Caenorhabditis elegans: one gene and its partner. The protein of the gene in region 2 interacts with the protein of the main gene of each other region in a pairwise test. Each region holds a gene or a part of one and is shown on either strand. Other genes may lie near its edges.

Evidence for each region.
Region 1: the proteins of gfat-1 (region 2) and sax-7 interact in a two-hybrid assay, tested with the Caenorhabditis elegans proteins (one study listed by BioGRID).

What each region holds. Positions count from the first base shown.
Region 1 is NC_003282.8:8,060,815-8,065,684, forward strand, and holds the start of sax-7 (Neuroglian), read left to right. Parts: upstream 1-1,844; 5' UTR 1,845-1,917; coding exon 1,918-1,966; intron 1,967-2,286; coding exon 2,287-2,464; intron 2,465-2,800; coding exon 2,801-2,877; intron 2,878-3,215; coding exon 3,216-3,508; intron 3,509-4,870.
Region 2 is NC_003280.10:11,591,893-11,596,996, reverse strand, and holds gfat-1 (glutamine--fructose-6-phosphate transaminase (isomerizing)), read left to right. Parts: upstream 1-1,587; 5' UTR 1,588-1,614; coding exon 1,615-2,290; intron 2,291-2,364; coding exon 2,365-2,403; intron 2,404-2,532; coding exon 2,533-2,565; intron 2,566-2,616; coding exon 2,617-2,673; intron 2,674-2,926; coding exon 2,927-3,207; intron 3,208-3,255; coding exon 3,256-4,098; intron 4,099-4,143; coding exon 4,144-4,347; intron 4,348-4,400; coding exon 4,401-4,445; 3' UTR 4,446-4,604; downstream 4,605-5,104. Other genes in the region: npp-5 (Nuclear pore complex protein 5), read left to right, coding at 1-72; F07A11.1 (uncharacterized protein), read left to right, coding at 4,937-5,009.

The DNA.
Region 1 (4,870 bases), on a different chromosome or scaffold from region 2:
TCTTCTGTCCTTTTTGTTTTATTACCGTCCCGACCGACCGCTGTAGAAAACGGAAGATACCCTCTTTTTCCCCTACCCATCCTTATATTGATACATCTAAAGCGTGCCTTCTCATTTCTCTATAGCAACTTTATTTAATAATTCATTCTTTTTGATGTTCACTGCTGTTGAAGCTACTCTCTATGTTCTGCTTGATCTGCTCATCGTGGCGGTGTTCATGAAAGCAAGATTGATGTGTTATGAATAATGAGGAAAAGAGAGTGAACTGCCAAATCCAAATTTTATGAATTTGGAGAAATAACCAGACCTCTTTTGGCTCAGAGACACACTCATTTTACGACCTTCTTCCGTGACATATAGAGAGTAATGCGGACGAAAGGATTTCGAGAAATCTGTCCGATCGACTTAGCACAATGCTCCGGAAGTATATAGTCTGTGGTGTCACAGGTTTTTTTTTCGCATCAAAAATTTCATGTCTCCAAGTCGATGAAACTGAATTGTATTTTTTTATTTTAGAAATAATTTTTTTAAAAAAAATTTTTAAATCGCGTTATCCAAAGAAAAAACGAATAATTCAATAGAGAAACTAGGCTTGATCGAAAGGTAGACCAGAAATTTTGCAATCGTTTCGAGACCCGAGCATGTGCGCTCTGTTGCGCGCCTTTGCTACAGTACTTGCATTTGTTTTGTTTCGCCGCCAAAACGATTTTTAACGAAAACTCTGAATTTTCTCTGTTTTTCTAGTGTTTTTACTTGTAAAACTACAAAATTTATTAGTCTAAAAGTAAATTAAAACATCTGAAAGTCGTTTTCGATTCGAAATAACGTTTAAATCACATTTTCCGTTAAAAACCTGATCATGTTCCCGTTTTGAATGTTTCAGACGCGCTGTGTTGAAAATTTAGCTTTTTTCGGATAAAAATCACCTATTTTCTGTCGTAAATGATTTGTGGCCCAGAATCTTTGAAGTCTTGTTATTCTTTTACCCACGCATCCATACGTCTCATAGGTGACATCTCGTGCGTAGAACATTTTGAGCAACAAAAATCGAGTAGCGTGACGCGAACGCATTTTTCTTTTTTCCTTTTCTTTCCTGAAAACGTCCTTGAAGAACGGCCGCTTCTGAAGAATGGAGCAGCTCTCGTTCTGATTGCAAAAAAAAACGAGACAACCGGTAAAGTACAATGCCATCGGCTACCGCCATGCGCAGATTGCGTCGGTTCTGTGTGTGTGTGTGTGTGTGTGTGTGTGGACTGTCAACGAATACATCTATCACCCCCGTTGACTTCTCCTCATGCCCTTCTTTTCTCATCTTGCATTCCATTTTTTCCACCTTATGTTTTTGTCTGTACTTTTTTAAAAATAACTTTTTTTGTTGATAATTTTCGAAACTTTTTTCTCTTAATTTTATTTTCGTAATGAATCAAACAACAGATTTAATTTCTTATTCTCATCGTTAATCCAACGTGCTTCCTCATGGTCACTTTTCGGTCAGCGGGGTAGATTCCCATGAATTCTCGCTTTTTTTCATTTGCATAATCGGGAAAAGGAGAAACCTAGACAAAATAAGAAGTTCTTTATTTCATTCTTCTGATTTTAAAGTCTTTCGTTTATTTTCCGGTTTTAATGTAATCCCAATTTTCGAAATTTTAAAGATGAATCAGATTTTGTACGAGAATAGTTTCATTTGCACAAGTAGTAGTACAATTATTTTCTTGAAAATTGAGGGAAGATTCTATTTTTTCAAACTAATTCATGTTTGTTTAATTCTTAACGTTTCCTTTTTTTTCATTTCTCGTTGTTTTTTCTCCGAACTTCTCTCAAAATTCTTCGCAAGCTTTATTCCAATTTCAGGATAGAAAAAGAGTATCGAACGAAGTTCGACGCGATTCTAGATCACGTCGAAAGACCACCATCATGAGGAGCTTCATATTCCTCTTGTTACTCACTGGCCACATATCATCAGGTGAGAATTCTTTTGACGTCGAGGACATCATATCGCTTCGAAAATTGTTTGATTGGCGATTCATGTTGACATATTTGATTGCAACATCATTTTACGCCCTTTTTTGTTGTTTTTTAATGGCAAAAATGAAAATAAATATGGAATCAAGATATTCAAAGCCTTTTTATAGAAAAAAATTGTAAATAAATAATATTGAGAAAAACGCTGAAAAGCATTTGATGTGCTCAAATTTATGAACAAAAAACAAATATTTCTATAACAGAAACAATTGTCAAATATCCATATATATGTAGCAACATTTCTAATAAAAACTGTTTCAGGCAGCATAGATTGGTCAGCGATCGAAACTCCTCCACAATTTGTTCACGATAAGAATGCAGATACCGTTTACTTTAAAGTCGAAAAAAGTGGAATGAGTGATGAATCGGCGAAAAATACGCCCGGTAATCTGCTCGAACAAACGATTCATTGCTATGCAAATGGAAATCCAAGGCCTTCGTAAGTTTTTTGTAATGTTTCTGAAAAAGTAAAATTTAGAAAAAAAAATGAATCTTCAAATATCTTAAAATAATTTTTATTGAAAATTAGACTTGCATGCAATACTAATTGGGAAAGATACGGTAGTTTCTATCTAAATTTGAAAAAAAATTCGAAGTCTTTTTACTGCTTCTAAAATTGCTTTAAAATCCTTTTGGCAGTTTTGGTGGAGCATTAAAAAATTTGAAAATTCAACATTATGCTCTACGAACAGTTTCCATTTGCATTTTTATTTTTCAACTTCCAGAATTAAAAAGTGTTCAAAATATGTTTTTTATACTATTTTCTTTATTACAGATATCGTTGGAAAAAGGATGGTAAGACGTTCCTGCCGTCCATGTTTCCGGAGAAAGTTGTTCAGAAACCAGGAGAAGGTGAATATTTTTTGTTGTTGTAAAAATCTAAAATTGAGAGAATATGGAACATTTTTGAAATTAAAAAGATGGAGTAACTGAATAGTTAAATGTTTGTTTCAAATTATTATTCTGATTTGAAAAAAGTTCACTTCATTTAAATATAAACAAATTTGTTTTATTTTTGTGCAATTATAAAACTCCCACATGCAGGAAAAACAGGAAAACAGTTTTTCCTCAAATCCAAAAAAAATCGAAATTTTCGGTTAGGCCTAAAAACCGAGAAATATTGATTTCTCATTAAAAAAAAGTTCGGTTTTTCAGAAAACCTGTTCTGAAATAAATATGACATTTTCCAGGAAGCCTTGTGTTCTCCCGTCTTGATGAATCTGATGCCGGATTATATCAATGTGAAGCTGAAAATTCGAATGGAACAGCTGTTGATCGTCCTGTCCGTGTACAAGAAACATGGATTCGTCATTTCAAAACTGCGGAACCAGAAGTTGTAGTTGTCGAAGTTGGAGATCCGTACCAAAGAAATTGTTCTCCACCTGCTAGTAATCCATACGCAAGAGTTTATTGGATTCTTATGGGAAAAGAACCGGGACATTTCGAAACTATCAGTAGTAGTCATATTTCTAGCAATGAACAAGTGAGTGATAACAGTTTTTTTTTTCATTCTTTTTACAGATCGTTTCTCGTAACCTCATTGTGCCAAGAAAACTTTTCTCATTCACTCCCTGTTCTTTGTAAACCAAAATCAAACAATTTTCATAGAATTGAACGATTTTTGGAGAAAGATTGAAGAAAAAACTATTCAGTGCTTCTGGCTGTATCGTATTCAATTTTTCGAAAAAAAAATAACTAGACGAATAATCTCTGCGATTAAGTTTCAAATTTGCTGCTCGTTCCAATCTTCAAATACTAAAGAAAACTTCAATTTCCATGTATTTTTTTTCAATTAAAATCAAATCAAACAGAAGTTTTTAAAGTGTTTCGATTCTATATTTTGAAATTGTAACTCGTGGATGATTTCGACGATTCTCGTTTTTAAAGCCAATTCGAAAACTACTTTCCCATTTTCCCAAGCCAAATTGATTTTTTTTGACAACATCTAAAGCATTTTTGTTTCGTTCTCACGAAAAGTACGTTTGAAAATATAGCATATGATGGTCAGCTTTAAACACTTATTTCGACGAATTGATAATTTATCCGACAAATATGCAATCAAATTATATTTTTACATTTGGCATTTTTATGCTAAAATTTCCTGTTGTTAAGTTGGTATCTGTTTCTAGTGTACGTACTAACAATTAGGTCCTTCTGTCGATTCTTGCCTTCTATTCATACATCATACCAATATACATCGCCCTTCTCACTATTATTATATTCTATGTCCAAATTCTATTGTAACCCCTATAATACAGACCCTTTTCCCGACGTCTCCATCAGATGAATAAGTTTTTTTTTGCGTTACAACAACACCTGTCCACTTCTATTTGTACCTTTCCGCCACCATTTTTCCGTTGCGTAATTCAGTAGTTTGCAACATTTTTTCCGTTGTTATTACGTCTCCATCGCAATTAGTTAGACATACCCCCGGAGGTTGAAGGATGAGAAATGACCTTCTGAAGTTTAACCAGTTGAAATGAGAATATTTTGAAGTGGATAGAAAGACATTAGCTGCTCCTAAGAAGTAACCCTTTGAGCTTTATCCTCCATTCACACATTGTGAAAAGTGGCCTCACATAATATGAACGAAGATGATGATACTGGTGTGAACCTATTTGGAGAGGAGAGAACGGGAATGAGAGAAACGAAGAAAAAACAGATTAGCTGCTGTTAAGTGGTGGTTTTGTCGTCTTAATTTGATTGAAATTTTTTGACGAGACCTTTCAATTGTCTCCATTTTTTTGTTTTAAATGATGAAAAAGCTTACTTTTTTAGCGAATCAAAAAGCAGTTGTTTTTGTATGCTTTTAAAAATAGTTTTTATATTAGTCTTGCACTTTTAC
Region 2 (5,104 bases):
CTCGGGCTCGATCAGGAATGGATGGTTTTCATCAAAGCTTTCTACGCAGAACTCAATCTCAAAGTCGAATAATTTTTATTTCATTGTTTTTTTGTTTGATACCTGTTTTGATTACCATTTTTTATCACTATATTTCTGACTTCTTTCTCATTTTTTTTAAATTTCCGGTCGATCTTTCACAGACACGATTGTATCCGTGCAGTATTTGAAAATAACAAATTTTTCTGATTTCTGTGGGTTTCACGTGAAGATCTTCTTCAAGAAGAGGTCATCAGATTGCGGAAGATCTATATTACCGATCTGACGCAAGACTACCATGTATATTTGGAAAGGAAAAATTTTCTGTGCAGAGGTTGATGGTTTAAATTTTGATTTAGATATTTTCTTCATTTAATTTGAAAATTTCCATGCCTGAAAATATCCTCAGTGAGGATTCTCACCTACCGTATACTTAAAGGCGCACACCTGTCTCAACCGGAGCGTTGCGAGACCCGCGGCATCAAACTACACACTGTGTTTTGATGATCTTTCGATCGTTCTCGAAAAAAGAAAGAGCAGAGTTCATTAAAACAAATGGCGGCAAAATGTCTATAAAGGCGAGTCGTTCTCTTCATTATCTTTTGATTTTCGATGTGTTCTCCTTATTGTTTTGTTCGTTGACCCCTTATCTGCATTCTCACCGCTACGCAACGTATATTTAACGTCAGCTTTTTCGCAGAAAATTTTTCTATATTCTCATGCAAATTTACTGTTCTCAATGCTGGACGTGTCGCTTGTGCTTTGATCTCAAATCTAACATTTTCCCTTCAAATATTTTATATCTGCAACGGTGGGGCAGAAATTTAAAAGTTGACCTTTGTCAGCCAACTGCTATCAGTTATCAGTTGGCCGGAGATCTTTCTATTTTCACTTTCTTGCAACGTATTCAGACATTTTTTGATGAATCGGTTCACAGAATTTTCGTCCTGATGTTGGTCAGTGATGCGCCAGCCGGAAATTAGAACCGTATGCCGTTATCAATTTTTCAAAGGCTAAAAAGTTATGAGGTGTATTTATTGTTTTAACACCTGACCTGCTAGTAGGAAGGAAATTAATTTTATGTTTAAATTGAAATGAAAGAGTCGAGCTCCACGTGTCGTCTCCCTAGTTTCTCTATTCCTCTTCTTCTCCGCCTATCTCTCGGCTTCTCTCCTTTCGCGCTCCTCTCACAATTCCTCCTAATCGTGCTGTTTTTGGGGTGGTCCAACACGGCAAAAAAGGCAGCAAAAAGTGTCTGCCGTCTCGTGCCTCTTTCTTATTGAAAGGGCACGAGAGAATAGTATCAAGAGGCTCCTCGTTCGGGCCGTTGAAGATGGTATCTGGTGCTTCGGCGGAGACGGGAGGAGCGGCCGTTTCTCGGGTCATCACAGCCCATTCCTTCTAATGTTTACACTGAACTTGTCGCAATCCCTCCTCTAAATCTCATTCATCCATTCATTCATATTCGTGTTATGTGTTCGCTTTTACATAATTTCCATTTTCACCACGTTTCTCCTCAAATTTGCATTATTTAAATCTCTGCCTTTTCATAAACATTTATAATTTTCAGGGTATCACCTATACTAACCATCCAAAATGTGCGGAATTTTCGCCTACCTCAACTTCCTGACACCGAAAAAACGATCGGAAATCGTGGATATTTTAGTCCAAGGATTGCAAAGAATGGAATACAGAGGCTACGACTCTGCAGGAATCGCCATCGACGGATCCAATGAGATCGAATCACCACATTCTTCGGTAGCACTTCTGCGAAAAGCTGGAAAGGTGTCCGTGCTCAGCGATTTCATCAAGGAGAGCTCCAGCGATCTTGACATGGATATGGAGTACAACATTCACTGCGGAATTGCACACACTCGCTGGGCAACTCACGGATCTCCACGTGATGTCAATTCCCATCCACATCGCAGTAACGACAAGAATGAGTTCCTCGTTGTTCACAATGGAATCATTACGAATTATCGTGAAATCAAGGAGTATCTCGAGAAGAAGGGACACAAGTTTGAGTCGGAGACCGACACGGAAGTCATCGCGAAGCTTGCGCAACACATTCACGATCGTTACCCGGATTTCTCGTTCCGGCAACTTGTGGAGACTGTCATTCAACAGTTGGAAGGAGCTTTCGCTCTTGCATTCAAGTCATCTCGATTCCCAGGACAACTCGTTGCTTCAAGACGTGGATCCCCATTGTTGGTCGGTATCAAGAGCAACTCCAGACTCCAGACAAATCACTTCCCAGTCTCTTTCTCTAAAGGTTAGTTCTTGAAACTTTTGGTGCAATTTCTAAGTCGTTTCGAGGCGGACATTCAAAAATTTCATACATTTTAGATGCTGGGTGGAAATGGGGAGACGAAAAACAAACTGATGGTAAATTTAAAAATGCTATTCCCTGGGTTTATTTTGGTTGCCTGAAATGCTTAATCACTGCTTAACTAACCTAACCTTGCATGATCTTTAAAAAAATCTATTTTATTAACAATCAATATGATTTTTCAGGACGTCGGTTCATGTCCAACCACGCTACTCATTGTAAGTTTACCATTTTCCAACCTTCTTCTGATATTAAATTCAATTTTTCAGTGCGAGATGAGACATCGTTCGTCGAGACTCCAAACAACATTCTGGACCTGTCAATCGGTATGGGTTCCCACTTTCATATGAATTTTTAATAGCATATTAGGTTCCCAAGATGTTTGCAACTTGCCGGTGAATGTAGATGATTCCCAGAGAAGATTGTCAGCGTTTATGAATTCTCTGAACGGTAGAAATTTGAAGCATGATTATTCTTGAACTCTTTCTCCACTTCTAAATCCTTGGGCGAATTAACTAACTCATCTCAATATCCCCAATCTCAAATTTTAAGTGAAACGTATTAATTCCATTTTTTCAGCCGTTCGTTCGTCTAATGGATCTGCTAAGATGGAGATCTCCGACAGCACGACGGCCGTCCGTCCATTCGACTCCGACGATTGGGAGGTTGAATACTTCGTCGCTTCGGATGCTGCTGCCATCATTGAGCATACCAAGCAAGTCCTTTTCCTAGAGGATGATGACGTTGCATTCGTCGAGGATGGAGCTCTGACTATCCATCGCATCTCTCGACACGCTGACAATGGAGAGCAAAAGAGAGAAGTAAAGCTTCTCGAGATGGAGCTTCAGGAGATCATGAAGGTTTGCATAGGAAAATGGGAATAACTTGAATAAAAACATATTTTTCAGGGATCTTTCAAAACGTACATGCAGAAGGAGATTTTCGAGCAACCGGATTCGGTAGTCAACACAATGCGTGGACGTGTTCTTCCATCGGGACAAGTCGTTCTAGGAGGAATCAAAGAGTACCTTCCTGATATCAAGCGTTGCCGCCGTCTGATTATGGTAGCCTGTGGAACATCCTATCACTCTGCCATCGCATGCCGTCAGATCCTTGAAGAACTTTCTGAGCTGCCAGTCGTCGTCGAACTTGCTTCTGACTTCTTGGATCGTGAAACCCCAATCTTCCGTGATGATGTATGTCTCTTCATTTCTCAAAGTGGAGAGACTGCCGATACGTTGTTGGCTCTCAGATACTGCAAGCCACGTGGAGCTCTCACAATTGGAGTCACCAACACTGTCGGATCATCCATTTGCCGTGAATCTCATTGCGGAATTCACATCAACGCCGGACCGGAAATTGGAGTCGCCTCTACCAAGGCCTACACTTCTCAGATCCTATCCTTGCTTATGTTTGCTCTCACCCTCTCCGATGACCGAATCTCCATGGCTAAGAGACGTGAAGAGATCATTGACGCTCTCAACGATCTTCCAGAACTTATCCGCGAAGTTCTCCAACTCGACGAGAAAGTTCTTGATATCGCCAAACAAATCTACAAGGAGAAATCACTTCTCATCATGGGAAGAGGATTGAACTTTGCCACATGCCTCGAAGGAGCTCTCAAGATCAAGGAGCTTTCCTACATGCATTGCGAAGGAATCATGTCTGGAGAACTGAAGCACGGTCCACTTGCCATGGTCGATGAGTTCCTCAGCATCTGCATGGTTGTTTGTAACGATCGCGTATACAAGGTAAGAATGAGCTGAATTGTTTTTTGATTGAAATCATTTTTTCAGAAATCGTTGAATGCACTTCAACAAGTCGTTGCTCGCAAAGGAGCTCCAATCATCATTGCCGACTGCACCGTTCCAGAAGGCGATCTCGCTGGAATGAAGCATATTCTTCGTGTACCAAAAACTGTTGATTGTGTCCAAAACATTCTCACAGTCATTCCACTCCAGCTACTCTCATATCACATTGCTGAGCTCAATGGAGCTAATGTAAGTTTACAATCGTCTTAATCTTGAAATGTACACGTATAATCTATTTTCAGGTCGACCGACCCCGCAACTTGGCCAAGTCAGTTACCGTCGAGTAAAGCGTCCCGTCTTCTGCCCAAACCACCCCAAGTGCCTTCTCACCATCTCGTCTTTTCTCCCACTCTGTGATTATATTTCCCTCACCAATTGCCTTCCCTAATTTATTGCATGTAATCTGGTATACCCAGCGATTCGACCAATAAAATGTGGTTTCCGGTATGCAGTGCATACTATGCACTTGTTGAGCATTGAGAAAACTGGGAACACCTCTAGTATGCTGGGATCGAAGAAGTTTCAACTTTTCATAAGCAAAATTCAAACTTGTAGGCTGAGTAAAAGTAAATATAAATAAAACTGAATGTTTACCTCTTTTCCGGTGCAGATCTGCTTTTCGTAGATACCTACGGAAGTTTAGTTGGTGCAGTGAAGTGTGCACTAATTCTGAATCTCGGAGGGAGCTCACCCGCCAACAAGTCATTATATTAGTTTAGCGTTTTTCAATTTTCTAGGACACCTCCTATTTATATAAATACTATTATAATTATTGCGGATGCGGTACGGAAAAGTCTACTTTTATGATCGTATGGGAAATCGAGAGCCGAGTGAAGCTGATAAGATAAGAGGTTTGAATCATGTGAAGTGAATATAGATAGAAATTATGTTTCTGGGTCCTGGAACAAACAAAAGAAATGGTGTTATTTTCTTGAAAAGACGTGTG